4 linked regions of the Daphnia pulex genome follow. The protein of the gene in region 1 binds, or shares a complex with, the protein of each later gene. Links are inferred from orthologs where the notes say so. Each region holds a gene or a part of one and is shown in the gene's direction. Other genes may lie near its edges.

What was found.
Region 2: cyclin-dependent kinase 8-like (region 1) and mediator of RNA polymerase II transcription subunit 7-like share a complex: the UniProt entries of both Caenorhabditis elegans proteins name them as parts of the mediator complex. The link is inferred for Daphnia pulex from reciprocal best matches to the Caenorhabditis elegans genes cdk-8 and let-49.
Region 3: cyclin-dependent kinase 8-like (region 1) and mediator of RNA polymerase II transcription subunit 21-like share a complex: the UniProt entries of both Caenorhabditis elegans proteins name them as parts of the mediator complex. The link is inferred for Daphnia pulex from reciprocal best matches to the Caenorhabditis elegans genes cdk-8 and mdt-21.
Region 4: cyclin-dependent kinase 8-like (region 1) and mediator of RNA polymerase II transcription subunit 31-A-like share a complex: the UniProt entries of both Caenorhabditis elegans proteins name them as parts of the mediator complex. The link is inferred for Daphnia pulex from reciprocal best matches to the Caenorhabditis elegans genes cdk-8 and mdt-31.

Annotation. Positions count from the first base shown.
Region 1 is NC_060023.1:3,947,455-3,956,105, reverse strand, and holds cyclin-dependent kinase 8-like, read left to right. Parts: upstream 1-3,285; 5' UTR 3,286-3,497; coding exon 3,498-3,658; intron 3,659-3,721; coding exon 3,722-3,908; intron 3,909-3,988; coding exon 3,989-4,129; intron 4,130-4,197; coding exon 4,198-4,387; intron 4,388-4,452; coding exon 4,453-4,567; intron 4,568-4,627; coding exon 4,628-4,726; intron 4,727-4,823; coding exon 4,824-4,896; intron 4,897-4,965; coding exon 4,966-5,063; intron 5,064-5,130; coding exon 5,131-5,215; intron 5,216-5,328; coding exon 5,329-5,802; 3' UTR 5,803-5,895; downstream 5,896-8,651. Other genes in the region: uncharacterized protein LOC124198281, read left to right, coding at 1-368, 432-536, 620-1,381, 1,441-1,681, 1,740-2,080, 2,153-2,914; protein disabled-like, read right to left, coding at 6,492-8,651. UniProt on the Caenorhabditis elegans protein: Component of the Mediator complex, a coactivator involved in regulated gene transcription of nearly all RNA polymerase II-dependent genes.
Region 2 is NC_060019.1:10,645,108-10,652,352, forward strand, and holds mediator of RNA polymerase II transcription subunit 7-like, read left to right. Parts: upstream 1-3,870; 5' UTR 3,871-4,006; coding exon 4,007-4,192; intron 4,193-4,249; coding exon 4,250-4,720; 3' UTR 4,721-4,789; downstream 4,790-7,245. Other genes in the region: tyrosine-protein kinase Btk29A-like, read right to left, coding at 73-113, 2,521-2,874, 2,988-3,255, 3,345-3,506; proteasome assembly chaperone 3-like, read left to right, coding at 6,386-6,480, 6,544-6,654, 6,717-6,897; GPN-loop GTPase 2-like, read left to right, coding at 6,908-6,947, 7,006-7,095, 7,154-7,245. UniProt on the Caenorhabditis elegans protein: Component of the Mediator complex, a coactivator involved in the regulated transcription of nearly all RNA polymerase II-dependent genes.
Region 3 is NC_060027.1:1,943,613-1,950,692, reverse strand, and holds mediator of RNA polymerase II transcription subunit 21-like, read left to right. Parts: upstream 1-3,316; 5' UTR 3,317-3,409; coding exon 3,410-3,451; intron 3,452-3,527; coding exon 3,528-3,740; intron 3,741-3,817; coding exon 3,818-3,979; 3' UTR 3,980-4,056; downstream 4,057-7,080. Other genes in the region: nudix hydrolase 8-like, read left to right, coding at 2,007-2,175, 2,244-2,335, 2,399-2,609, 2,666-2,892, 2,961-3,140. UniProt on the Caenorhabditis elegans protein: Component of the Mediator complex, a coactivator involved in the regulated transcription of nearly all RNA polymerase II-dependent genes.
Region 4 is NC_060024.1:13,243,544-13,250,472, reverse strand, and holds mediator of RNA polymerase II transcription subunit 31-A-like, read left to right. Parts: upstream 1-3,913; 5' UTR 3,914-4,054; coding exon 4,055-4,067; intron 4,068-4,145; coding exon 4,146-4,226; intron 4,227-4,283; coding exon 4,284-4,380; intron 4,381-4,439; coding exon 4,440-4,650; 3' UTR 4,651-4,738; downstream 4,739-6,929. Other genes in the region: 2-oxo-4-hydroxy-4-carboxy-5-ureidoimidazoline decarboxylase-like, read right to left, coding at 4,883-5,078, 5,151-5,304, 5,384-5,570. UniProt on the Caenorhabditis elegans protein: Component of the Mediator complex, a coactivator involved in the regulated transcription of nearly all RNA polymerase II-dependent genes.

The DNA of each region.
Region 1 (8,651 bases):
CTGCTTTGTCAAACCATTTCACAACAATTGAAGATATTTCGCAATTGATAAAGGATTTCAACGATCGAAAAATTTGTTCTGGCATTCCTCAAGAAAGGTTCAGAAATGTTAATTTGTCATCTCGTCTTTCTGCTACATTGGACAAAGCTGGCGTGTTAAGATCGAAATATTGCAGAACCATTTCAGAAAAGAACAGACTGTGCGTTAAATGTCTTTTTTTGAAGAAATACCTGTATAAAAGGTCAAGTAAAATTGAAGTAAAAATACCAATTTCAAAGGAGAAAAAGAAGAAATCTAAGTTAGCTGAGAAACAAAAGAAACTAGATAACAGTCTGAAACAAGTTAAAGTTCTGAAAGGAAAACAAAGGGTATTTATGATTTCAAACAATGCCATCATTATTTTTATAATTTAAAATTTTATGTCTTTCAAGGATGCCTGTAAGCTGATTAAAGATCTACGCAAAGAATGCCAAATCATGGTTCAAAAAGAAAAAACAAATGGACTAGATTATCAGCTAAGACATCTTTCAGAAACGGTAAGTTATTATTTGAACCCCATGCTACACCGAAACTCAGAAATACTATTCTTTTCTCAATAAATTGTCAAATTTTTTTATAGGAAAAAGTGGTTGTTAAGATGTTTATTGCCAAGGCCAAAATTGATCCAGAACGTAACAGACACCGAAAGACTATGAGATATGACCATTCCTTTCTAATTCAGTGCGTCATCCTAAGGATGAAAAGTTATTCAGCATATGTGCACATACGGAAAATTGGACTTCTACCTCTTCCTAGTCAGTCAACGATGAGAAGGATGTTAAGTTCTTCCGAGTGTCAGTTTGGATTTAATTCGCTTGCGCTCGAGCAGATATCCGATGCGTTCAAAGGATTACTGGCATGGCAGCGCTGGGGAGTTATAATGTGGGACGAAATATCAATAACCAAGGACATGAGATGGGACAGTAAAGGTCTGAAGTGGAAAGGCATAGTAGACTTTGCAGGTGAAGTTTCCATTATGGTCCCAAATGGTTTGGCAGACCATGTCCTAGTGTTTGTGTTCAGACCATTTTATAAAGGCTGGATTCAACCGTTTGCGTGGTTTGGAACAAAGGGTGGAGCATCTGGTACAGTTTTGCTAGAACTAGTTACGAAAAGCATTGCGCGTCTGTTTCAAGCTGGAGCTATAACGAAAGCAAGCGTATGTGATGGGTTTTCCACAAACAAAACGGTGTATTCCCATTTTGGTGTTTCTGGAACGGAAGATGGAGTTAATTCCATGTTACACCCTATGGATCCTTCAGTGAAAATTCATTGCCTCCACGATGTTCCTCATTTGTTGAAATGCACAAGAAACCATATGCTTGAACATAAATTAGTTCAGGTAACTTATTTTTCTTAATGTTGTTTTACTTAATTTGTAATTCTAAATATTATTTGTAGTTCCAGGGACACAACGTAAATTTTTATTCGTATGAACATCTACTGGAAGCCCAGAAAGGTTTGCAATTGATGTTATGCTGCCGATTAACTGAAGCGCACGTAAAACCAAACAATTTTCAAAAAATGAACGTCAGACTAGCTGCTCAAACATTTTCGGAACGAAATGCTCTTGCTTTTAAAATCTACCGTGAAATGCCAGCCTTTACTGCAAATGAAAAACGGCTGAAAAAGTTGTTTGAAGGTATTTTCCATAATTAATCAATCAATTTAAAATGCTATTGATTATTACATATTGTTAGGTACTGAACACATTGAGCGGCTTACAAAGACTGTGAATGACAATTTTGACGTACTCAACGGTAGACATATCAAAGAAGGAATCACTCCCAATAACTGGTGGATAAATGCACATGATGAAAAAGTGAAAGGCAGGAAACAAATACTTGAAGCCATGTTAGCAGTTCTAGCAGTAACTGAGAGGATTTATGAAAAGGACAAAAACCGAAAAATGTTTTGTTCCTTGACAACCGTACATGGATGGAGAATGACTATAAGAAGCGTTATTGCGTTAACTGAAGAAATGTTTAACGCAGGCTATACAGTAGTCCTCACTGGAAAAATGAATCAAGATCCAGTAGAGGTGAAACGAATTTTAATCGTGATTATCATTTCTATTGCAATTACTCAATAACTTTTTTTCTAATTCATACAGAGACTGTTCGGCATTGTACGTGGTGTTGATGCTCATCCCACGGTGACTTCTTTTCAACAAATCATTCGCTATGTGTCTCTTGGAGCAAGATTATCCACGATTATACAAGGAGCAAACGTTGACAATGTTGAGCAGATGAACATCCTAGTAACAATGTCAAAATGCCTTAAACGTCAAGCCAAGGAAAGTGACATTCGAGCTTCCGACCTGAGATCAGTATTAGAAGATAAACTACTGAAGGAAATAACAATTCGGTTTGTTGATAAAATTAACGAACCAGCGAATTCTAATTTCGTCAAAGATATTTTGATTTATGATTTGTGTGGTTATATGATTCACACAAGGAAGAGTATGTCAAAATGTCCTGACTGTTACAAATCCCTTCGCTGCGAGGAACTGGAGTTGCCAGAAGACTTCACTGCAGATCATTATACTCGAATGCGCAATAAGGGGTTTTTGATCTTTGTCACTGTAAATATGTTCCAAACATTCAGAGTGATAGAAAAGGTAATTGAGGGTCATTTTGAGCCAATTGGCCAAATGTATGAAGAGGAGTCATTTCAAGAGTGCATGGAGAAAATTTCAACTTGTCATTTGGTTCCCATTTTTTGTGACATTCATCGAGATGAAAAGTTACCTTACCTCATAAGAGAATATGTGGGAGTTAGATATTATTTTGAATCAAAAAGACTAAAAAATCTTTTGTTAGCTGAAGCTTCAGCAAATGTAAAAAAAAACAAAAAATTAGCAAAACTTGCGTAGGTACCTCTGTATTTATGAAACATTGTATGCAAGAAAATGATTCGTTTTAATAAATACCCATTTGTAACTACACTAGAATAAAATTCAAAGTAACTGAAAACTAAACATACCATGTCATTACATATTTTTTTTACACAAACAAACAATAAAATGTAAGAATGTGAGAACACTTAGAAAAATAGGACACTTATATATGACTTAGAGGTTTGACAGTTGGATACTTCTACCTTTTTATTATTGTTCACTTCTTGTAGAAAAGTAAGCTGTGATTGGTCAATGAGTTTTTCATAGACCCTTCCTGATTGGCTGGCTTCACGTAGTACCTGACACACTCACTAGAGGCGCTCATCAATTTTTCCAAATCGGACCACGGTTACCCTGAAACCGGGATAGGGAAGCCAACACGGCCGAGAACCGACCAGGTATCTATTGCTCTGCCTTTTATTTGAATTTTTAGTTTTTTCCGTCTGCTCTTCATTTCCTCCATCTGGCAAACGTCATTACAGTATAACAAACCAAAAATCGTCAACAAGAAAAAATATCAACATTACACAAATTGATTTGCATTCATGCAATAACTAGCATGGATTACGATTTTAAAGTTCGAACGAGCGTAGAACGTACCAAAGTAGAAGATCTGTTTGAATATGAAGGAAGGAAGATTGGTCGTGGTACTTACGGTCATGTGTATAAAGCGAAAAGAAAGGAAACATTCGCCACTTCGGATATTAATAAACTAATTAGGTTTGATATTCTCTAAGCACGAGAAATTGTGTAAGTTCAATATAATTATGTTTTATTTTATAGTGCTGACCAAAAGGAATATGCATTAAAGCAAATTGAAGGCACTGGTCTTTCCATGTCAGCTTGTCGTGAAATAGCCTTGCTCAGGGAGTTAAAGCATCCTAATGTGATCAATCTTCAACGAGTATTTCTTTCCCATACTGATCGCAAAGTTTGGCTTCTTTTTGATTATGCAGAACATGACTTATGGGTTTGTTAAAATCTTCCTTCTAAAGTTGTTTTGGTTCATGATCTTTTAACTTATTATATTTGTCACAAACCAAAATTTAGCACATCATTAAATTCCACAGAGCAGCCAAAGCAAATAAAAAGGCAGTTTACACTCCTAAAGCCATGGTAAAATCTTTGCTATATCAAATCTTGGATGGGATTCACTACTTGCATTCTAACTGGATCCTTCATCGTGATTTGGTATTGAGAATTATCTGCTTTTGTTAATATTTTCATCAACAAATAGATTTTTGCTTTCTTTTCCTTAGAAACCAGCCAACATCTTAGTCATGGGAGAAGGAATTGAAAGGGGAAGAGTTAAAATTGCCGACATGGGTTTTGCTCGTTTGTTTAATTCACCACTGAAACCTTTGGCTGATTTGGACCCTGTAGTTGTGACTTTCTGGTATCGAGCACCAGAACTGCTTTTAGGAGCTAGGCACTACACAAAAGCTATTGGTAAAACATTAGTAGTTTGTGTGGTGTTTCACAATTCTATATCATTGCTTTACAATTTATTTTAGATATTTGGGCTATTGGATGTATTTTTGCTGAACTACTAACATCAGAACCAATTTTTCATTGTCGTCAAGAAGACATTAAAACTTCCAATCCCTATCATCACGATCAACTCGATCGGTATGAAAATTTGCTCTTCGTGAGTGTCAGAAATGAATTATTTATTACATTTCCTTGTAGAATTTTCAACGTAATGGGATTTCCACATGACAAGGACTGGGAAGATATTAAAAAAATGCCTGAACATCCTACACTTCTCAAGGATTTTAAACGTAACAAGTAAGTGTTTATTTCCATTTGTTTGTTTACTTCTTAATATTAACTCCATGTTCAAAATGCATCTTTTGTTTATTTTTTTTTTATTTTTTTCTTTTAGCTATCAAACATGTTCCTTGATGAAGTATATGGACCGGTATAAAATTAAAGCCGATACTAAAGCTTTTCATTTGGTAATCGATATTTAAAATTAAAAGTTGCGTTTTTTTCTCTCCTTTTTTGACTGATTAATTTGCTTCAAGCTTTCCAAACTTTTAATGATGGATCCTACTAAAAGATTCACCTCAGAATCTGCCATGGCTGATCCTTACTTTCAGGAAGATCCTTTACCTACTTCAGAGTAAACTTAAAATAAGAATCATAATGTAATATAAGAATCAGTTTTGATCAGATTTGTGTTTCATTAGCGTATTTGCTGGTTGTCCTATTCCGTACCCGAAGCGAGAATTTTTGAGTGACGAAGAGCAAGATGACAAATCTGATAGCAGCAAGGTAATAATAAATTGTTCTTTTGATTTTATTTTATCTAGTCTTTTTCGTCTCCCTTGTTTTGGTTTTCTTTCATTTGCGTTTTATTTGGCATTTGGGTACACTTTTGAATTCAGATGATTGCTAAGAATCCACAGGGTCAGAATACTGCAGCGAATGCCCCCAATGACCAGTCTCATGGTCCTAATGCAAAACGAGTACGGTTGGCTCCCCCACATCCTGGAAACAATGTTGGTGGATCCAACATGTCAGGAGGCCCACCAGATTTCCATGGTCAACATGTTGGACAGCAACCCCATGTACAGCAGCATCCTTCTGCACAGCAACAACAACAACAGCAGCAGCAGCAACAACAACAGCAACAACAGCAGCAGCAACAACAACAACAGCAGCAGCAGCAGCAACAACAGCAACAGCAACATGCTTCACAATCGGGTAATTCTAATCATGGCCATGGCCATCACCCTCAGCATCCGTCACAACAAGGCAACATGCAAGGAGGTATGCATCCGAACTATTCCAATCATCCTGGCCATCCTCAACAACAGTCGCATCCTCAGCAAAACAACTCATTTAATCAAAGATTCTGATGCTCTTTTCATCTATTACTAGCAACTTATTGTATTTTGTCTTCATTTTGAATTCGTAAAATAAAATAAAATGCGTACATTTTCATACTAAAACGTTTAATAATGCATTACCGCTGGAAATGAAAAAGGTACATAGAATAAAAGATACACGATGGATCGTGTTTTGATTCCAGGAATCAAAGGAAAATTGCTGTAAACTATGATCATGTTTGACGAAGGGAGTAACTGCCAAATAGCGAAAACAAGTGGAGGCTGTGTATGGGTACTTGGGTAGAGCAAAAAAAAGCGAGAAAAAGAAACAATATTGAGTCCTTGATTCATGTTCAGCAAAAAAAATTAAAAAAATTAAAAGAAGGGTAAAATGGTAAGTGGCTACGAAACGAAAATACAATCACAAATAAAAAATAAGATGACTAGCCCGTCACATTTTCTATGCCAATTGACATCATTTGGCATCAACAAAGATGCACCAAGAGATTTGGTGAACTATTATTCTGCCACACTTTCAGGTCCACTTTCCATGACTGGTCATAAATACAGATATGACAGAAAATGTTACTTGGATGCTTTCTTTTTTGTTATTGTTGGGGACAGGGGATGGCAGAAACGACAAAGAAATTTTTAGCGCAAGAGAAAAGATAGTACGTCAATCCGCAATAGACAAGGTTCCGACTTTTTAAATGATAGTTTTAAAGAGTAAATTCATCGTCAACGTCATCAAATTGAATGTTATCGTCGAAGGGTTGAACCCACGCAAAAGGGTCTTCGACGATCGTATTAAAAACATGAACAGATGGTTGTTTAACCATTTGAGAATTAGAAGGTGCAGGGGAAGAAGCTTTAGCTGGAGGCAGATCCGGTTGGAAGAAGTCGTCATCAAAGGGATCGTCTACTCGTGAAAAGATGTTTACTGATGTCGATTTCTTGACCAACTGATCTCCTTTGGTCTTTAGCTGATGATCCGGATCCTTAGCCTCACTAAAAGCTGAACTAAAATCGACAGCAAACGAATCTGAAACGGGTGGAATATTTGGTTCGGTAACCATTTTATCTGAGGAAAGGTCAAAATCTGCAAACGAATCACCAAATCCTTCAACTGGGTTGGCAGGGAAGCGTGCTTCAAAAGCAGCAAACTTGTCAGCCAAATCATCAATGGCTTCGTTATCTTCTTTCTCGATGACTTCTATTCTTTCTGATTCATCTTCCTCCTCCTCTTCATCTGCAGGCGTTTCAGAAAAATTGTAATCTTTCTGTGTCGAACCATTCCAAACGGTGTGAGTTGCTGCTGATTTTACTGCCGAGTCCTCCTCGGCAAAGTGATCAAATTCGGCACTTCCGGAAGATACAGAATTTCCGCTAGGATGACATTGCACCGCAGTCTTGGGTCGGGCACCAGTCTTATCATATGGCGATTCAGTCAATCGATTCAACTGGATGTGGCTAAAATCATCTTCAAATCCGAAAATAGGGGAAACTGTTTTACCGACGGACGCGACTGGGGGGTTGCCATACAGAAATCCGGCTTCTTGTGTTGCTGAGTATGCAAGCACTTGTGTGACTTCATCAAAATTTGCAAATTCGGAATCACCATTTCCCATTTCCTCATCCTGTTGAGCGGTGGATGACACAGCCAAATCTTGTTCCATTATCTCTCTAAGAGCAGCGTATCGGTCGCTATCAGACACCTTTGAGATTTCAGATGGACGAGCTTCTGTTTGAGTATTCGTCGGTTGAGGCGCTTTAGCGTGTCGAGTAGCAGAATCATCCTCTGGTTCGGGAGCATCGCTGAGTATTTCGTACTTTTTACCACCTTTATAACAGATTTCCGTTTCATCTACTTTTACTTCAACGGGCTCTGGTTCTTCTTCTTCTTCCTCCTCCTCCTCTTCTTCTTCTTCCTCTTCTTCCTCCTCTTCGTCTTCCTCTTCTTCATTGTCTTCTTCTTCTTCCTCCTCCTCTTCTCCTCCAGTTGTCGGGAAGTAAGGATGCGATGGCGGGAATTTCTTTTCGGAATGGCGTGTTTTCTTATTTTCAACTTTGACTTCTTCTTTTGTCATCTTATTTAACTCTGCCAGTCGCAGGGCTAATTCTGTCAAAGTCATGCTGGTTAGTCGCGCAGGTGGCAGCTGAAGGGTATCCGCTAACTCAGCCAAGGACATGTTAGACAGTTGCAATAGGGATATTTGATTTAGTTTCGACTGAATCGGTTTGACTGGACGATGCGATTCCTCTCCATCTTCTCGAGAAAGGTGACGAGTGACATTCTGTCCTCTAGAGAGGGAACTAGATACTGACAACGGTTGTTTTGGTTTCCGAACGGGAATCGGAAGCGGTGGCGTTTGTTGCCCACTATAAATGAGTTCATCAGTAGGGGTTACAACTGGTCGCTGTGGTATAAGTGGCGGTTGTCCTTTGGGAGGCAATGGTGGCGGCCGGAGAACAGGCGGACGAGGAGGTGGCTGTGGAGGCATTGGTAATATTGCCAAGCCCGAAACAGATTCTTGCTGCAATGACTGCAAATGTTGTTTCGGCGAATGTTGCAGTTGCAAATGTTCTCTTTGTAACTGTTCATCTTCAACAGAACTGGACGATGAATCATCTTCACTTGACGACAAATCTAAAGGTGGAAGAGGCGAGTCTTCCGCTCCACTTACGGTTGTAACTTCAGTACCCATATGATGAACAGACCCAAGTTGACTTGGTCGCTGTGTGTTCGGACCTCGTGGTGACCAACTTAAACTGCTGAGTGAAGTGGCGTCATTGATGGCGTGTGGGTTGGTGGTGTGTTGATTACGCCGAGCTTGATTCGGCGAGGATGGTATTTGAGGGGTCACGTTATTCATCTCATT
Region 2 (7,245 bases), on another chromosome or scaffold:
GAATGCGACGATTAGTTTTTTGCAAATAAACAAGACATGAATAAGGGTCAATCTTTCGTTTTGACTGCATACCTTCTTAGGCACGACAGCGGGTTCAGTCGGGATGGAAGAACCTAATGGTGAAAAAAGAATAAAGCGCACGATGAGTGGCGGTTTAAAGGAAAATAAATAACATAGATGGAGAACAACGATAGCGAACAAGAGACGATGGGGGGTGTCTTATGGTTTGAAAGGTAATTTTCATCGTAGAGCTGAATTATCATCGAACTTGGGAGAAGGGAAGCTGGGGAGAGGGGGGTTCTTTTTGTTCCTCTTCTTCTTTTCAAAGGCTTATTTGGCGGATGTACTGACACACACACACACATACACAGCCGTATAATAACCTTCCGTCCTTGGCATACAAAATAGGCCTGTCGTCTATATGTAGTCTTCGACCTAAGAGTTTCAAGGGCTTGGAGATGGATACAAAACACAACTAAAAATAAAATAAAAAAATGGGATAGAAGAGAGAAAAAGAGGGGAGAGAGAGAGAAAAAAGGATAGAATGGGAGAAACGAGTGTGGGAGAAATCGTTGCTGCGTCTTCTATTCAACCACAGGCGAACAATGGATATAAGGAAGGCTTTTCCTAGCAGACTCGATACCGGTATGAGAAATTGAGGAGGGAACTTTCTCCCCTTCTCTTTAACGCGCTCCTTTGAATTGTACGCGTGTCAGAAACTCGTAAACAAGGACGGGTTTTTACTTTTCTAATAGTTATTCTAATAGTCCCAAAAAAGAAAAGGAAAAACTTGCAACGTCCAGTCTGGACCATTTCTGGCTGACGAAAGAGGAGGTGAGGTCAGCCGAGCTCCCGTCGATTTGAATCTAATCAACATCCAACTCACTTTACACACACACGGCACTAGAATACGCTCGAGGGAATTGAAACACGCAACCACACAAGACTGTCGACAAGTTTCTATCGCTACTACTACTTTCAAACGTTGAAACCAAGAAAACAGGAATTAACGGACAACAGATAAGTTGTGGTATAATCTCACATACTGGATTTTCTGCAAGGGGACTAGGGAAATCCCGAAGAAAACAATAAATCACAAATGTAAATATTTTCCATACAACACAACCGCATAAGAAATGATTGCCCTCGCAAGCATTCAAATACAACAGATTAAAATTAGAAATTGAATTCCAGAAATTTGTCGGAAGGCAAGCCAAACCCAAGTGCACATAAAGACCCACCGCGATGGTTTACGATTGTAACTTAACGCATTGAACACCTGTTGAGTCATTCAACAGGTGACTTTCAGGTGGGAGTCAACGTGAATAGCCTGTGCGATTTTCGATTGCTCAAGGGTAGTAACATGAGAAGAAAACCGATGAGAGAAAAAAACAACACAACACGGTGAAGCCGAACCATACCTAGAGTCAATTTACTTTCGGTGATCTTATAAGAGAGAGAATCCGAAGACATTGTGGACCAAATAGGCCAGCGGCAACCAAAAATGCGCATAATTTGCCCGTTAAAACCTCTGAAACATCAGCCATGTACGTAAAACTTACATACACGCATTGAAACTAGAGAAACAAAATAGGTAGGGGCGAGCTGACTGCAAAACTTGCACTACAACAAAATAGATTTGAACAATGGACCAAGGCAGCAGGTGGAAGCTTATCAATAATTCTCACGTTATTTTTTATCTCGTAAACACAAGCGCAACACTAATCGAACTGACAGGTAACTATTTCAGTATCTGAATGAAACAAACGTAGGCTGTTTTTCTGAGAGATATGAGAGACTGTGCTGTGCTGGCTTCATCATCTCTCCCACACTTTCGCGTAGGAATAGTCCAGTTTGTCGTTTGCTTTCGCTCTCACACGGGACTTGATGAGATGTGCAGTCCTCTTCTCGTCATTAGAGAAAAAGAAACGTGATTTATGAGAGACGCGGTCAGTGCCCACTGAGTACAGGGAGAGGGCTAGAACTAAAAACCGCCGAAAGGAATAAAAAAATCTCGGGGAAAAACAAGCTTGTGTGCATTCTCTAGGTCTTCTTCTCTCCGACCGACCGCAAATCCCCAACATTTTTCAATAGAGAAAATTTTCATGAATATTGCCAGTACCAATCTCACACAAGTTTTCTTTCTCTAAACCACTGCAGCGCCACACGCAACACTCACTTCTCTAGTTTTCTAATAATTAGTTGATCTTTTCAGCTATCCGATAATTTAGCTTCGCAAGTGAAGTGGATGTAATAACTTTATCCATTTAGTTTTTTTTACAAGGAAAACAAATTGAATCTATTCCAACGACGCAGTTTCTTAGAATGTGCTTCTATTGGCTTAAATCCCCCTCCCTCCCAAAGTCCTTGACTAAGGATTTGATGCGAAATAACTCAACATTAACTGTTGTTCATGTACTTAGAAGTCGTACAACTACTGTTTCCTAGAAGTATTGCAGGCAACGAACGGGTGTAAATCATTAGTTAGCACTTAGTAGGATACATAAGCGGGTATAGTACCTAACGCAACAACGGCGTTGTGAGAAGTGGAAGGGGATGCAGGAACAACATCCCCGACGATTGCCGGATGAATTTCCGTCGTGGGTTTAATCGCCGTTGGTTTGACCATGGCCGCCTCGACTTCAGCCCCATTCGCAGGTTTAGCGACAGGACTTGGTGAGGGAGACGGATGGTGGATGATGTTACTGAAATTGATGCCCATGTGTTGAAGTGTATTGGGAGCCCAAGTTACAGAACGGCAACCGTTTATTGCCTTAGACGTGGACCTTTGGGTTGATCCACAGCAAAGATAACTTCTATTCCCCCACAGGGCAGGGTGATACACATTCACAAGAGGAGCACTGTCTTTGACCACTATCAGGAGAAAAATAAAATAAATTATTAGATGAGATAAAATGAACATGTGAGATAAATACTGCTATTTGTCACACATAACTACTTGAGACGTCAAAAGAGAATGTTCTCACCAACTCGGATATTCCAAAGCCAGATATCTCTTTCTTGCTGAGTGGGAGTGAAAATGCAAAGAGTCAAGTCTGTTGCACTACAACCTTCATTACACTCATAAGGATTGTACACTATCTGAAAAGCAGGAGATCCCTTCAAATCACTCGGAATGGAACCTGTAAGGTTTGCCAATGGACCGATGGCAGGTGTGTCAGGTGCTGGATCAACAGCTTCCACAACTTTCACTGTTTGGAGGTCGACACGTCCCTTTTCTTTTCCTTTGCGATTCTGTTGTTTGGAATTGATGGTTGTGATGAATTAGTGATGAAGGGATTCACGAACACAGTCCATGCGTGTTTAGTAGAACTAAACCTTACCTCGCATTCGCCCTCGTAGTAGGCGAGGAACTTTGTGGTAAGGACGAACCATCGACTCTTGTAGTTGATCAAACTAAACCTCTTCTTGTTCTGTGATCGTTTCACTAAATTGCCTTGCTTTTTTACCTCACCTGCAAGAGGTTTGGCAGAGCTTTTAAACATACTTACAAAACGATCACTAATCAAAAAAGTAGTCCCCACTTGATAAAGCTGTTATAACTTCGTTCATTGTCTTTCTCCCTGGACCCTGGTACGAAGAGAATGAAAGCAGGACGAAGAAAAAGCTCTCCAAACCTCTCTAAATACTGGCAACTCGGACAGATCTAGCGGCAGTTGCCGACAACTATTATCGGATTTAATTTCCTCCGAAAATTAGCGATAAAATCGAGGAAATATACATTTAAAATAAAAAAATAAACAACGATTAATTGATTTAATGACAATTTAATGTAAAATTGAATTCTTTTACAACATTCTAAATCAAATTTGTTTCCATTCAAGAATGGCGTGTCGGGACAGCCACAAAAAGGAGAACATTGATCAAAAAATAGTCTGCTGAAATCCCCAAGCAAACGAACTAGAAAACGTCACATTCTTCATTCTTGAAAACAAACTATATTGTTTACATTACTATATTGCTTCATTCCAGTGGGAAAGTAAAAATGTCAGAAACGGCTCAAGTTAGTTCATTACCTTTGCCACCGATGCAATATGTCAGTCTTTTTAATGAAGAAAACGCTAAAAGAGGAAGAACACCGAGACCACCTCCTCCGATCACAGACAATTATTCCATGTTTGGTAATCCATATAATACTGATGATGCTGTGATCCGACCTCTTGAAAGCCAGGTGATAGAAGTTTTTTCTTAATCAAAGCTTTCTTTAATACTCGTTTTACTATTCCAGAATATACGACGTCTGTACCCTAATAACTATGACCACAGAAGAGAACTGAAAAAGCTCAATCACTCCATCACTGCTAGTTTCCTTGACTTGGTTGATATCTGCATACGAAATCCAGAGTCTGAAGCAAGAGCCACAAAAATTGATGACCTCACTTTGCTTTTCATTCACATGCATCATCTGGTCAATGAATTTCGGCCTCATCAAGCAAGGGAAACTCTTAGAGTTATGCTAGAACAACAAAAACGACAAAGATTGGAAATTGCAGAGCGTTTCAGAAGACATTTTGACAAAGCTTGGGAATTGGTTCAGCAGGCTGTCAACACAATTCCTGAACCAACTGAAGGCAACATCAAGCTCCTTATAGATGTTGAACGGGTTCAACCTTCAGAAGGCAATGCAAGCAACCAAACTTCTGGGAATGGGTGTACTGAGGAGGATCGTGTTCTGTGTCAAATGATTGATTCTTTGTGAATTCTGTGTTATTTTATGTTTATTCAAAGTGGAAAATACATTCGATCTACTCGCCTTTCTGATGTAAAATAGTCTGCTGTTTTATTTTTAATCGTTTTGGGACAAACATAATCTCGGTGATTTATTTTTTTTTAAGAATTTTTATTTTAAAATAATTATTGCAATAGATTTTTCTATTTGTATTTTAGTTGATAAATGTTGATGATCCACCTAAATTAAACATCTAGATCAAATTGCAACGTTGTTTATTCGTTTTAGTCCGTCTGCAGTCGCTGTAACATATTTTTCCTTCAAATTTTTCCTCTTGAAAGTTGATTCGAAACAACAATACCGTTGAAGTTAATTCTCTGCTTTTGGTAAGTGCATTGCTGTTAATTTAACTGTATATTGAACCGGTCTATCGATAGTTATTAGTTTTATCATTTCGCCTTGCAGGTAACATTCAATTGTTATAGCCAAAGCAAGTTTTTACACGTGATCATCTTTCGTTAGTAGAGTAAATTTTAAAATGACTGAAAGAAAAGTCAGCCCAGTTCCCGTCTATAACAATATCCTAATGGAACAATTTTTTGATGAGATCCATCCCAAACGAAGTCCTGTCATACTCAGAGGATTAGACATTGGAAGTTGTCTAGGAAAGTGGACAGCTGAATATCTTTCGCAAAATGTTGGGAATAAGCCAGTGAAGATTCATGTATCTGAAACAGGGCAAATGAATTTCCTAACCAAAAACTTTCATTATAAAACACTGCCGTTTGATCAAGTAATCAAAAGGTCTTCTGAAAATGAGCACGAAAACTTTTTTCTAACAAACAGTGAAGTTTACTATTTAAGGGCACTTGGAACTGATTCAAGGGGAAGAGAGGTTGCCAATCTTGATTCTCATTATCCTGAACTTTGCCAAGATTTTCAAGTTCCCAAGTTTTTGGAACCAAGCACTATTTTTTCAAGTGTCCTCAGGGTGGCTTCTGAAGGAGTTCAGTTGTGGACACATTACGATGTGATGGACAATCTTCTTGTCCAAGTCACTGGCAAAAAACGAGCCGTTCTCTATTCGCCAGAAGACCTTCCGTATCTCTATTTGGAAGGCGACAAATCTCGGGTTATCGACATTGATTTTCCTGATCTGGAACACTTTCCGGAGTTCGCCAAAGTAACATCTCACGAATGTATCATGGAGCCCGGAGACGTTCTTTTCATCCCGGCTCTGTGGTTTCATAATATGACATCACTCGAGTTCTCCGTAGCAGTCAACGTTTTCTGGCGAAACTTGAGTCCAGAGGTGTACGATAAAAAAGACCCTTACGGCAACAAAGATCCGCTACCGGCCTCAAAAGTAAGGCACTGTCAAAGCTTCAGGGCCTCGGTTATTTTTCTATCTCAACTTTCAAACTGCAGGCGTTGGAGATGGTTGAATCTGCTCTGAAACACCTGTCCATGCTGCCTGAAGAGTATCAACGTTTTTACAAGAGGAGAATGGTTTCTAGAGTTTTAAAAAATTTTTGATTATTGTGATCAATAAATTGGATAAAATTTAAAAAAAAATGCATTTATCACATCATAATTAGTTGACGTCAATTACCATTTTATTGCTTTCCATTCTGTTATACGACCACTAATTTTTACGAACCATTTTTATATCTTTCAGGTTGGATATCGTTTGATATGGAAGGTGTAGCGGGAAGATTTCCCGTCCAGACTAAAACAGAAACTATCGAGATTAACGGGAATTCAACAGAAGTTGTCATTTCAAAGTTCAGGTTGGAATAATTCTTTAGTTCATTGCTTGCATTACTTACACTTTAATTCATTGTCCTTTTTAGCGACAAGTTATTTATCATACTTACTCAATACGGCAAGGTGGGAAACGTGGTTGAAGTCCGTCGGGACGTTGCTCAGAAAGACGATTCTTCCAGTGCAGTTTACAGCGTTCGGTAATTCTTGTATGTCGTCTCAATTTCGTTTCGTTTTTTTAACTTTCATTGCAATTTTGTAGAGTCTTATTCGGTCGAGACGACGAGGAAATTCACGTTGCTGCACGTTTCTTGGTGAACTTTATTCCAACACAGCAAAACATTTTATTTGCCTTGTCACTTAAAGACTATCAGCCGAAAACTCTTCGTCAAGTTGGCGAATTCCTAAAGATCAACCTTTCCCTCACCGAAAAATCTGCATAAATTTTCCAACATGTCTGTAAGAAAAACCATCTTCGGCCAAGCCGTTATCGGTATGTAGAAATTACGTTCGTAAATTTGCTACACATTTTTACCGTGTAATGTTATAAGGTCCTCCCGGTAGCGGCAAGTCCACTTATTGTCATGCAATGGCGGATTTCCTTCGATCCCAGAATCGTAAAGTAGCTCTAGTTAATTTAGGTATTTTAAAATGTTATTATACTTTTCCAATCAAAATCTCTAATATGATTGTGATTAGATCCTGGGAATGATTTATTACCGTTTACCTCTTCCATTGATGTATCAAAATTGATTACTGTCCAAGATGTAATGGAAAATTACAATTTGGGT
Region 3 (7,080 bases), on another chromosome or scaffold:
TGTAGAGAGTTAGTCTCTGTATTCGTTTCATGCCAACTATTGAATTTCAAGATTGTGTCCTCTGTGCAGTTGACTAGTTTGTGTGTGTGTGTGTGTACGAAATGTAGGCAATATGGCCGCCGGCATTTTCCAACTGGGCGCTGCTGCAGGCAAAGTGCTGCTGTGTGGCCTACAAAACAACGGGCAAGGTCACAAAACCATAAAAGCAACGGTACACACAGACAAAAAAAAACGGCGATCGTTCATTTTCACAACTTTTTTTTCGAATAGAGGACCGACATTGACGGATCGGAAAATTGCAAAACGTGAACTTTGTTCCGATCGATCGAAACTGTAAACTCGACTCGATTAAAATTTCATCGATTTAATTATTCGCAAAGTACAAGCGAGTTAAACAGTCCGAATTTGTTATTCAAGTGTAGCGTCAAGGTCCTTGTTTTCATTGGCGCCCGGTCAGGGATCGTGTGCGGATTGGCCTGCAATGCTAATAATAATACAATAACACAGCCAATATGTCACCATCATTATCTCCCGCACGAGCTTTTAATCTTTACACTAATGAAAAAGATGAGCTCCTTTCCCTGGGCAGCAGCAGAAAATAACATCACCAAAGCCGGACGATATTATCCCAGTGATTCATTCCGGATTCCAAACACACTCACGTGTCTCTCTAATATTTTCTTAGTGATGGAAATAAATCTTGGACAAAAAAAATGTGGAGCCCCTAGAGTGACGTCATCTCAAACAGGTCAAGGCTTATACTGTGTATTTCTTCATCTCTGGTCAAATTATAATTGTCTCGTTCACCGAAATTTCTGGTCGTCAGAGTTGTGTGTGTGTGTGGGCACAGCGTGACATTGCCCTACTCTCGTCGTGTGTTATATACGCGCGCCTTTTCTCGGTCTAAATTATCGATCATATGCTGCTCAGAGAGGGGGAAAGCGAACACACACACAAAATAGTTTTCGTATATATAAAGGAAAAGTTGGAGAGAGAGACGGATCAAGTGGCGGTGGCGCTCCTGTCTGTACAAAAAGCCAAACAAAGGATTTTTGATAACGAAGGAAATGCCAAAAAAGGGTCACACACAATATAATAATAATAATAAAAACGGTAGCTCTCTTCCCTCCCCACACACTTGTGTGTTTGCGCAGATGGTTTAGTTATACGTAAATCTCTTCTCATCCGGATTAAATGGGATGGATCATGATATTATATGGACTAACTCTTGTTTTGTTCTGGCGCATGACTTGTTCATGTTCCCTTTTTTGCTCAACACTTGACAAGTGAGTTGACAAGTTATATTTCATCACTGGGGGTTTGTGTGTGATTCGATTTCAATTGCTTTTGTGGGGGGAAGAAAAATAAAATGGATGATCATGGCCGCCAAATGCGCCACACAGCAATCCCAAACGGCTGACAGTAGAAACTTAGAAAGTGTGTGTGTGTGTATACAGTACGGCGAGTGGGGGGAGTGTACTACTACGACTTTGTGTATCTTTAAAAGAAAAAAAAAATGTATGCGTGCGTGTTTGTGCGTTTGACCGTGAGTAGGAGGTGGTGGCTGCCTAGCGAGGCGGTCAAACGAATCGGGAAAAGGGGCAGGAAAAACATAATCATCCGTTCCCGTGTTGATTTGTCACGAACTTGGCCATCTAGCGGTCGAAATTCGCAACTTGCCAGGTCGTTTTGGTGAAATAACATGGGCAGAAAAAATGGATAGATACATAATCTTGGCATTTGTATTTCATGCCCTTCTAGTAAAGTGTCTGTATCATTTATTTATCATTTATTGTTGGAAAAGACAGGCAGAGATTTACAATAGAAGCCGGAAAAGAGAGGGAAAATGTGTGGCAACTCGGATTCACGGGACATAAAAGTGCAGACGATGTCAACATAAATATTATACGATGTCGTTGGACGATATCTCCTGCCTCTAGAATAAAAAGGACTCTGTGTATAGATGAAGAGATAGGCCGTGATGACATATTTATTGAACGGGTGTTATGAATGCTACTGCTGCTCGTCATTTATTGAGCAGCGCTCTGGCCAAGACGAAATCAATTGTTGTTAAAATGTCGACATTCCAAGGTGCCAAGGATCTTTTCGGCGGAATCATTGTGCGCTCGAGCGAAGAGCCACAAGAAAGGAACCGAATGGAGCAGCTTCTTAAAGGTGCAAATTTATTTTTATATATTAACACATCATTTGTTTTATGTAATAGTTGTTTTGTTTGTTTTTAGAATCTCTGCAAGTCTGGTCCACCACTGGAGTTCGTGGAGTCTGGTTTGAAGTGGAACCAACCTGTGCTGAATGGATTCCAGTACTAATTCAGGTAGTCAAAGAAGAATTATTGCTAGTCAAAACTGCACGAGCATTACCTTATTCATTTTCTTAGAATGGCTTTTCTTTCCATCACGCAAACCCAGAGTTGAGTGTGTTGCTCAAATGGTTGCCTTCTGACGAACCTTGTCAAGTGCCTAGTTATGCACACACAATGGTAGGCGCTGGAGCCATGGTTGTCAATGATAAGAATGAGATTCTTGTGGTTCAGGAAAGGTATTACAAAAGACCACACTGGAAACTCCCTGGTGGTTATGTAGATCCAGGTATGTATATTTAGACATCATTAACATTCAATCATTACCAATTATTAAATTTACAGGGGAAAGTATTGCTACTGCTGTCAAGAGGGAGGTGTTTGAGGAGACTGGTATTAAGACAGAGTTCGTTTCACTCGTTGCCGTGCGGCATTTGCAATCAAGAGAGAAGAATCCCAGTGCAAGGTTCGGCTGTTCAGACATTTATTTCGTGACTTATCTCAGACCTGTTGAAGGTAGCACAGAAATCAAAATGTGTCCTCGTGAGCTCAGCGACGCTTGTTGGATGCCGGTTAGTTTTCTAAATGTCAACATTTTCAATTATTCCTAGTCTGTGTAATTGAATTTTAAATATTTTAGCTGAAAGAATATGCGACTCATCCGCTTGCCTTCGAAGTTGGGAAAATCTTTGCTACACAGTTAATGGCGATTGCCGATGGCGATAATCCCGCAATCAACTGCCTGGAATCTATCCATCAATTGACTAATAGCAATAGCCAAATTTACTTAGTTGAAGGAAAACAAAATTTTAAACTGTAATGTGTTCAGGATCACGTTCTAGTATTTTGTTTTAGTGCCTGTTACGGGAATCAGATAACGCATTATATTTAGCTTGAATTGTTGTTTTAACAAATTATATATGCAGATCGGTAAATTACTGCCCAGTTCCTGTAATCATCAGAATGTAGAATTAATTTCACAATACAGGTTGTGAATGTTTAAATTTGGCATTGAAGTTATCAGATTCATCGCTAGGTGGCGTAATAGCCGGCACATCTGCTTTTCTCATCTCTGCATTTCCATCAACAATGGCTGATCGTTTGACACAACTCCAAGACGCTATAAATGCGGTATTTATAACTGATTGCATTGACGAAATTGCCAAGTGTATCGTCTCAAATTCGTGGTTTAATTCTCTGTTTCTAGCAAGCTGATAATTTCTGCAATGCCATCGGTATTTTGCAACAAACCGCCCCACCGGCTACATTCCCAGGTTTCGATCGAGCAGGCAATCGAACACCTCAACAACAACAAGAAGATCACGCTTCTCTTTTTGCCACATTGATTGCCCGCTGCGCCAAAGATATTGACGTCCTAATCGATTCACTACCCAGTGAAGATTCTACCTCCGAACTGCAGGTATAAACTTGGTTCTATTAGTATTCTGTCGGTGCAATGTTCTACGAAGTTGACTAAAATTAATTCAATCGCTGCAGATTGCAAGTCTCAGAAGGCTGGAGAATGAAAATGAAAGTGCCGCTGCACGATTGAGGGAGGTTGTCAGCGAAGGAGAGCTGATGCTCGAGAAAATTCAGAATGCACTTCACGACATTGCACAGACCCAACTGGCCATGCAGAGCACAGGTCCAAATTCCTAAATCCAACCATTATTTGCTCTAGTTCCCTATTTTTGATATTTAAAAGAAGAAAATGAAACAAACAATTTGCTCTGCAAGAATTTCGTTTCATTTCTGGTTTCCGCCACAACATCAATTTTAAATCTGTTCTTTTCAAAATCATATTGAGTGAACATTCTTGTCACACACAGGTGAGGCAAGTCATTTCAGGAAGGAAGGAAGATGGGGTGACAGATTGTAAAAGAAACTGTTTGAAAAGGATTCCAACCTTTTATATATCCACTTCTTTTTTTGTCTTCCTTTAGAAAACCCAAAATGGAAAGAAGGGGGGAGAGAAGTTGCTGTTCACTCGTAAGAAGAGAAAGAACACGCGGTCCGTTTGTTTAGGAATGGCGTGCAACAAAAAAAAAGAGGAGGGGGGAGCGGGAGGAGGAGAAAAAAAAAACGATAGAATGTTGTTTAGCTTTTTATTTTTTAAAAAAGAAGAAGTAGAAAAAATTCTCCCGTGTGTATAAATATAGTGCTGCCATCTTCTCCGACCCCTTTCGGCGATCTCCGGTCGTTCGGTAAGAAGGGGGAAAAATAAAGGGGGTTGGAAGTGGGTGGCGTTCAGTCTCCCCACTTCCTTTTTTTTTCTCTCTCCCTCCCCAACCCTTTTTTGATGCAACAACAGTGTCTGCGTTCAGCGATTATGTCTTTGGAGAAGATTACGTTTGGCAGAATTTCAGGTGAGTTTGAACAATTTGTTTTCTTATTTCACGAATTTTCCAGGGTAAATTTTGATGTTGCTCAGGATAAATATGAGATAACTGGGGAATATATAGAGTCTTATTAGTTCTATAGAAGAAGCGCCGCATACCGCTTCGGGGCAGCAACTGTGTGTGTGTGTATATCCCCCCCTTCTTCTTCTTTTTTAAATGTTTTTCTTTAAAGAAAACAAAAAATACTAAAAGGGAGGAGGAAGATGAAGAAAAGAGAGGGGGAAGAGTGCAGCTCGCAAAGGTCCCTCACTTCTTTTTTCCAACTCTTAAACGAGTTCTTCTTCTTCGGGCTGTCTGACTCCCCCCCCCCACCCAACCCCTTCCTTCCCCCCCCACTGAGATTCTTAACACATACGAGACTTTTATGTTAATTTCGTTCCTTTTTTCTTTCTTTCTTCTCGTCTTCCCGATATATTTTTCTTCTTTACAAGATTCCGGCCGAAATAATAAATATACCAGTCTGTCTGTCTGTCTGTGTGTGGGTTCGTTATCAAAACCCCAAAGTCGAGAGAGGCGGAGGGGTTAGGTATTTTTACTCCATTTCACTCCGGACGTGAATTTTTTGTTCTTTTTATTTTTTTCGGGAACAACACAGTAGAGTGTGTGTGGCACGGTCGACTGTAAATACAAATAAAACCACTTCCTGGAACTGTATAGATATACCCCTCCTATTCTTTTCCTATTTTATTTTTAATTTTTCGGAACTTTTTTTTGAATTTCCCGCCTCTTTGAAATTTGTTTATTTCTGCGTGTATTTATTGAAAAATATTCGTGTCTGTTATTGTATACAGACACGCGGTAGGTTTTTTATTACTTAAAAAAAAAGAAATAATTTTTGAAAGACATTGTATCTTTCTTTATATTCTTCTTCTTCTTCACACAAAAAGCACAGCTCTCTGTCCGGCTGAGTGAGCTAAGAGCTTCAGGGGAGGAAGAAGAAGAAGGACAACATTTTGTGGGCGTGAATTTCTCCCTTACGGACATTGTCGCCGACATTTTCAGTTCTGAAAGAGAAAGAAAGAAAGAAGTTTTTAAAAAGAAACATTAAAAAATAGAAAAGTATTTTCCTTTTAAAATAAAGCAACGACCGCCGCTAGATGGCTTATTGTTTCGGGACAGGTATATAAAACATTCACAAGTATATACCGACGTAGACAGCTTAGATGCACACCTGTAGATAGTAGCGAAAAATGTTTCTTTTTCTTTTTCTCCCCCTTCCCCAACAACAGGTTTTATTCCATTTTTTTCGTTCACTCCAAACCATTATTTCTCAACGTGAATTAGAGACAAATGCATCACGCAAAGGTTTTCGAATTTGGCGGGCGTGATTATTTTATTTTTCTCCCGAAATTCTTGTTTCAAGGTGAATGGAAATATTGGGAACACACGGGAGAAAAGAGAAGAAGAAGAAAAATCATTTTGAAAATGATAAGATGGAAACTGTTGATGGAGTTGAAGAAACGAGTTGAGAGATGAGGGGAGGAGGGGGGAACGGCATGACTATCATTCTCGTTCGTTCGTTTTTTTTTCTTCTTTTTTTTGACCATATGTGGTGGGAGAAGAAGGATGGGAAATTTCCCTATCTAACCCTTTTGGTTGGTTGTTGTTGTTGTTGTCTGCTGGCGGGGGTATGGAACTGAAAGAAGAAAACGCTCTATCACATTCGACCATCTTCTACTACTACCCCTTCTTTGCTCTCATCGTTTCTTATTTATTTATTTCTGATTTCTCTCTCCCCACCCCCCGAGAGAGTCTGAGATATCCCACATATAAGAAATTCCATTTGATATTCATGTAACCAACTGACCCAATTCCAAATTCTATACCTATTTATAAAAAGAGAAATCCACCCCTTTTATATTTAATCGAATTAAAGTTAATTGTATTTTAAATTAATGGAAGTTTAAAAAAACAAAAATTTCGAACGAAATGACAATAGGGGTTGTTCTAGGCGATCGATAATAGGCCTTAACAAAAATTTGGTGAAAAAATTATTATTTTCCCCTTGTTTTGGGTTCGAAAAACGGGAGGATATCCGCCATATATTTCCCCATTTTGATTGCGGGCGTCGCATATGCGCCGTTTTTCATAGATTAGACAATAGGCCTAGAGGGGTATTACGATAAAAATGTATAAAAAGGAGGGGGGGGACTGTTGTATAACGGGAGAAGAGGGGTTCGTTGACTTGGGGTTGTTATATTATTCAAAAAATAGTATCCATCTATTTTTTGATGGAAATAAGTTTTTTTAAGAAAAAGGGGTGAACGAACTCAACAAAATGTTCCCCCTTATATTCACCCCCTTATCCCCCCCCCCCACACACACACACTTATATCCAAGCTCCCCATTATGTGTTCCGTT
Region 4 (6,929 bases), on another chromosome or scaffold:
AAATGAAATAAAAAATTCACCTTTTTTTATTTTCTTATTCTTTATTTTCCCTGTCTGTCTGGCTGGCTGCTGCTGGTTGCTGCTGCTGCATCCCTAATGTGACACTCAGCTGTACAGCAGTCTGCGCCATATAAAAATGTGATTTTGATTCAAGACGACGTCGTGACATGATTGAAAATGACGAGCGAGACAAGGGCAGCAGCAACGAGTAATAGTGCTCAGCAACAAGCTATACTGCACAAGTCCCAAAGAGGCGTATAGTAGGCTACCAACAACAGTTTCAATCCAGCGTGATGTAGCATATAATCTAATCTGTAGGCTACTACCCTTACGTGTGACACACCGTGAAAGATTGTTGCTCCTCCTCCTACCTCATCCTCACAGCTCCACATTATTCGCTAAATGACGAAGATATTCTATTTCTTAGATGGGCCATCATTTGCATCTCCAACCATTCGGAAGGTTTTTTTAATTTATCTGGAATTAGTTGATAGGCTTGTGGTATTCAATTTCAATTAAAAGATTCAATTAATTATTTATTAATAATAATAGGCTATTATATTAGCTAGACCTTTTAGATAGTCAATCATTTATATACATATCCTGTGCACGCCAAATCATATGTGTGGTGCTGTAGGCATATGGTTATGGATCGATGGCCAATCCTATATAGTCTGAGTGTGATTGCACCGGCCAAAATATCGATACAAAGGTTGGCAGTTGGCTGGAATTTGCAACTGTAATATTGCTTCTTTGTTGGTTGTTACATCAGATGAGGACTTGTGGTGAATTTCCTCTGTTGTGAGCGATTACCACGTCACATTACTATATATTTCGTCGGGATATTAACGTTTTGAACGCCGGCGTCATCGCCGTTACGGCACCATCCATATCCGCACTGTAATGTATTCGATCATTCTACTTTTCTTTTTTCTTTACTCCCTTGGAGGTTGATATATATGTATTATATATTAAAAAAGGACCCACTGCTGCACTCCTAAGAGCAGTGTCCTTTTATTTTATTCCGGAGCGGAAGAAAAAAAAAAGCTTTCTGGCACTGGATAATGTAATGGCAGGATGTGACATCATCAGCTGTTATTCCCTTTTAGATAGAGAGAATAGAACACAATGTTTCTCGGATACTCTTTTGTTTTTCTATAGCTGGCATGTGCTGCTTACATGATGGATTCGCAGTCAAATTTTCTACTTAGAAGGAGAAATAATAATACGCATATAGGGCGATATTTTGATTTGATTCTTAAATTTCTTATTCTTCCGGTGGATTTTTTCTTCACGGCAACAGTACAATATAGACCCTAATTGCTTCTCCATGACAACAGCCTACAATGTTTTCTATGTACCGTATAACTGGTTGAAGACGGTATAGTTAGACTTGATGTCATTCACTCGTACCCCCTCGACATGTACGCGTAAGAGTGAGAAAGGGAAGAAGACTATAAACAAAAGAAAGATTTTATTTTGATGTCAAACTATTCTATTTTTGACATCATGTCGAAAATAATGTATAGCGCTGCATAAGGATGATTAAGACTTGCAAATTCTTGGTGATTTCATTATATAGCTGCAGCGGCGTGAGTTGAATAATTGAAACATTTGCGACTAATAGGATCGACTCGTTTATAGATTTTTTGCATGTGTCAATAAGTGTTCCTGGCAATTCAATTATAATTAGCCTACTTATTCCCCATTCTGATAATTTCAGTAAAGAAAAAAAAAGAGTCGGTATATGGTTGACATTAAAGTCTATGTAACTGGATCCCGTTAATAGCCACTTAATGATGGTCACGTTAACAGAATAGACAAAAATAACGCAACCACCCGTTATTTTTTAGTCGTTGTCGTTCAATTCCCCACAGTTTGTTGCATAATGAATTCTTATTCCCATCACTCGTTTCGTAAGACCATCAAATCCGACCAAATCCTTTGATCCCGTTTTCTGATTATTCCTTTTCTTTTTGAATTGTCACTCAATTTTCATATAGCTACCCAGCTAAAAGCGCTAGCTATATAATGTGTTTGTACTACTCTTTATAATATTTGAATAATGAATGCGAAATCGCATCAGATGTTCACTTGAATATTCACGAATGAAGATTTCACCTGGTAGGAAACTTGTCATCCTAATACGACGTATAACACGCTTACTGCTGAGTACCATTAGATTAATAAGTTGTATGCTATGCGCTTTGCTGTTTTGTAAATAACGCGATCAGATAAATATTAATGTCTAGTCTCAGTTCATTTGAAGCAAAAGGTTCAGGAGAAAGATGATGATTCGTCTACTAGACTAGTTAAAAAATACGATGTACCCCAGCAGTGGGCTGCATATGATTGCCATTTTCGTTGACGCGTCGACAAGTTGTTTGACGTTAATATTTTGCGTTAATAAGATTTCGCGTCGCCCTTTTGTTTTGTTTATTACATTGTTTAATTTTTTGTTTCCCCCCCCCCTCTCTGCGTCGACTGCTATATACTCGGCGACGTGACGCAAATGGAATCGGGGGCTTGCTGTAATTGCCTTCAACGGCAGGTTAACATCACAACAGTTGCCGAAAGTATAGAGACGAGGCGGAGTCAGTTTTTGGGCATTGTCCGTCGCACGTGCCACCGCCCACCGGTTCGTCTACCTAGTGGCAAAAGCGTTATTAATATGGCGGGGAAATGTAATGAGAATCTTTTCCACGAAAATTTGAAACTCCTCAGGTAAAAAAAAAAAAGGCTGATATGGGTCAGGCAATAAGCGGCAGGTGATTGATAAAAGCCCACACTGCCTCAGCAACAGCTGGATCATTTTTGTCATGTCACGCCACCTGTTGCTACCTACGCTCTACTGAATTCTGTGCTATCAATGATGGAATATTACTCCATCATTTATCCCGGACCGACGGCAGAAATCCGCGTTGAATCTATTTGTTACTCCAATCACGTCACTTTGCTGATTGAACTTATAATCATAGAAGAGTGGAATTTCAAGCACGATTATTAGATAATACCAGGGAATTAAGATTGATACGTTCATCCTCTTGATTGTCGCATGGTCTACCGGAAAACTCGGGGCCGTAGGTGAGAACCAACCATTATACATCCGCCGAGTGCGCAGGAGGATGGCTACGTAGTATAGACCTACCACATGTACAATACGTGAATATGCACTCAGACATGATACACCGCCCTCACGGCCGCGTGCATTATCCGGATGTCACGTATACACGGAGTAGATATGACACTTTAAGATGATATTTCTGACCTATACATGGTAGAATGCTATCGCCCCCGCACCGGATATCCGATCAAAAGTGGCGAAAATAAGAACAAAAGTCAAAGAAAAATTTCAACAGATTTCGTTTGGGTTGAATATTTTTGATTAGCCTACTTTCAAATATTTCCGTTCTGGAAAAGGACGATAAAATAGTAACGGAGGCGTAGAATGTCGCATATGTGAAACAACTGGAAATCACACGGTAATATATTCCATCTTTTTATTTTTCCGTTCGCCTTTCCTGCTGAATTCATAATTTTTCTGATTTGACTTTTTTATTTTGGTATTTTTGTTTTTCAACTCCATATTCCATCTAAATTCTTCTATTGATCTTACCTCCTACAGGAAAATAAAATAACTCACGGTGCAAACTGAAGTTAGTATAGTCTAGCCGTCTAGCCTATCAGCTGCGGCTTCATGGTTTATTAGGGTCCTACGGCGCAGCGCAACCGCAAAATGTTATCCAAATTCGGAAATCAAACTGTGTGATAAGGCCACCACACACATTAATAAATTGTGGGCATGAAATTTGAAATCGTTTTAATTTTTTTTTTATTTTGTAAAAATTTTTTTAAGTTAATTCAATTTTTAATATTTTCTCGATTTCTTTCTAGATGGCATCAATTGATCAAGCAGACGACAAATTGCAAAAGTTGACGCTTTCCAATTTCCATTTCAAGTTGTTGTCTGACGTTTCCATTCTGTCCGGTTGCCTCGTTTCTAGATTTCCAAAACTGTTGAAGCAAACTACGTTATTTCGTTGTTTGCTTCGCAATGAGCACCAGAGGTAAATATATCGTGAAGTGTAGTCGTTTTCAATACAGATTCTCATTGCTATGTTATTATTCCTTTTTCCGATGGGTAGAAACTGATGAACAACAAAGGATTCGATTTCAGGTGGAACTAGAATTTGTGCAATGTTTCGCAAATCCAAATTATCTGCACTGTAAGTATTTGGTCTATTTTTAAAATCAACACTTTCATTATGCCTTGTTTACACTAGTCCTTGCTCAACGTGGCTATTTTAAGGATCCGGCGTTTGTCAACTACATCAAGTATTTACAGTATTGGAAGGAGCCTGCTTATGCAAAATATTTGAAGTACACCAATTCACTTGCAATTTACCCTAACTAGAAATTACAATTTCATTATTTTCCAGGTACCCAATGTGTTTGCATTTCCTAGACTTGCTTCAATATGAGCATTTCAGAAAGGAGGTTGTGAATGGCCAGTGTGCTCGCTTCATTGATGATCAACAAATCCTTCACTGGCAACATTACACTAGAAAGAGGGTTCGTCTTCTTCAAAGTCAAGCTGAGAAGCACATGATGACTGTTCAGAATGAGCCAACACCCCAGAAAAGTGTTTGATTCATGATAATTATTGTTTAAGGAACTTTTTAAACTTCTCTTATATTGGGCAAGTATATGCAAGACAATATAGACAAATTTTTGTAAATTGCTGTATTTTGTGTTGAGTTTTTGCAAACTACCAGACAAAATGTTAACAACACATATGTTTTGGAAGACTTGTTTTGAGTGAGAATGTTTAGAATGGAATAGCTGCTGTTGACCTCAACTGATGGGAGCGAGTGGAAAATCTCTACATATTACGAGATTTGTCATCAGTTACTATACTCAACAACCTCAAAAGGCAGATTTTCTTCACTTCTTCAATCCCAATGTTTAGTTCTTCAGCAGCTGAGTGTTCCAATCTCTCAACTATTCCTTTCAAGATTGCTTCCTTCTTGTTCTGCCTGGCACAGATAACAAAAGGAAATCCAAACTTTTCTCTGTATCTATTAAAATAATAGCCCAAAAGACACAGCTCATTAGTTACTATATAGTTATAGAACAGTAATTTGTCATACTTGATGTTGGTCTCTCCTAGCAGTTGTTTTTCACCAGGTGTCATTGTGTCTAAACCAGCAGCTTTCTGTTCAGCAGTACTCTCCTGTGTTAGGCTGCCAAGTTCAGCTAGCCTGCCAGCCAAATCAGGGTGAAGTCTTAGCACCCCCTCTTTACCTATCAAATGAGAAAACAAATGTTCAATTGATTGGCTATAAATAAGCATTCAAGCAGCCTGTAACTAAATAGTTCTAACCTGTGTCCGGAAGGAGGTCCAAAAACGAGCAAATTTCTTGGTGGAGATGATGAACGTCACGAAATGGGCGATTACGCCAAATTGCCGCCGCGCAAATTGAACAATGTTCAACTACATTACCGAATCGACTGATGAAATCTTCATAATTCAATTCGTTTACCAGCGAAATGTTCAGCATATCAGCCATTCTTGACGTGTGTAGACCGAGCAAGTGGCGCTTGACGACGATCTAAACAGAATGCAGCCGTAGTAAAGATAGTCAAGGTCGTCTATAATCAAAATAAAAGTAGACGAATAAAAATTCGAAACGTGTTTGTTTTTAAGTTTGATACATTTGTTATTGCAGCACTAAATAATGACGTGGATTATTCTCAATCCTGATCCTGCAGTTTGTTTTTGAGTTAACTCGATCGATTATCTGGGAAGATAATGAAAAATAAAAATATAATATTCCACCACTATCACGTAGCTAAATATCGAGTTTTAACCTTCATATATTCTCGCCATATTTATGTACACACACTTAAGGGATCTCGTTTCCACGGTCAAAACAACGTCATCTAAATGGCATTGAAATTGTTTGTGTGCATAAGTTGTTTTGATTTTTTCGGCATCAAAACAGAATACTGAATTGCGTGATAATAACAAGTTAACAAACTCAAAGGAAATTGAATTTTTAAAGATTTCACATAGAATAGCCACTTTTATGTCTGCTTGTCGAGGTGCACGTGATCAACTGACATTGCCTGAGGGTCATACTACTGTCAAACACGAAGGGGAACACAGAAAAAAGCGTGTCAGAAAATTCGTGAGGACGAGACGACAAGGTGCCCTTACCAAACTTAACTTCCCAGTCAGTACTATCGTATTTATAGCCAACGTGCATAGATTCACGTTGGAATTTTTCCCGCTAGCCGCACGGATTCAGGCTCGTCGCTTCGACTCTTTAAAAGCCACCCAACCGGCGGTATATAGCAAATAGCCCCGACTCCCAAGACTAGCTCGTCACTTCGACTGCACCGACTGTACGATCTCGTCTGTCCTGATAATTCCTTCGTCTTTTCCAGTCAAATTCATATTACCAAGTAAGTTGCATCATACAATTTGAATAGTTACATATCTTGTAAATTGGAGAAGGTAAGTGTGAAACCATATCGGTTTGAATGTAGTTCACAAAATGTAAGAGTTTCTAGGATTCGTACCGAACGATCCTGTGTCAAGGTGACCTTCGTGTAGGGACGACGTATAATATTGATCGAACCATGATTCTAAAGATATTCAGTGGAGGCAGCTTTCTAACTTTGCCTTGCTCATTGATTGGATGTCTAGAAGTTGTTTAAATGAAAAGTCTTTATCGTATTGGGAATGTGAGTTCTACTTTTAGAATCCCTTGGTTCTGAGCTATTTTTTTCTATCCTTAGAATGACCTTTGGGTTGGCAACAGACTAAGGTCATATGGTCATCTAGGATCATGTAGTATGTTGAGATGATCTTTACCCGCACCAATACAACTAATTCTAAGTAATTCAATTAAAGTGTGGTGTCT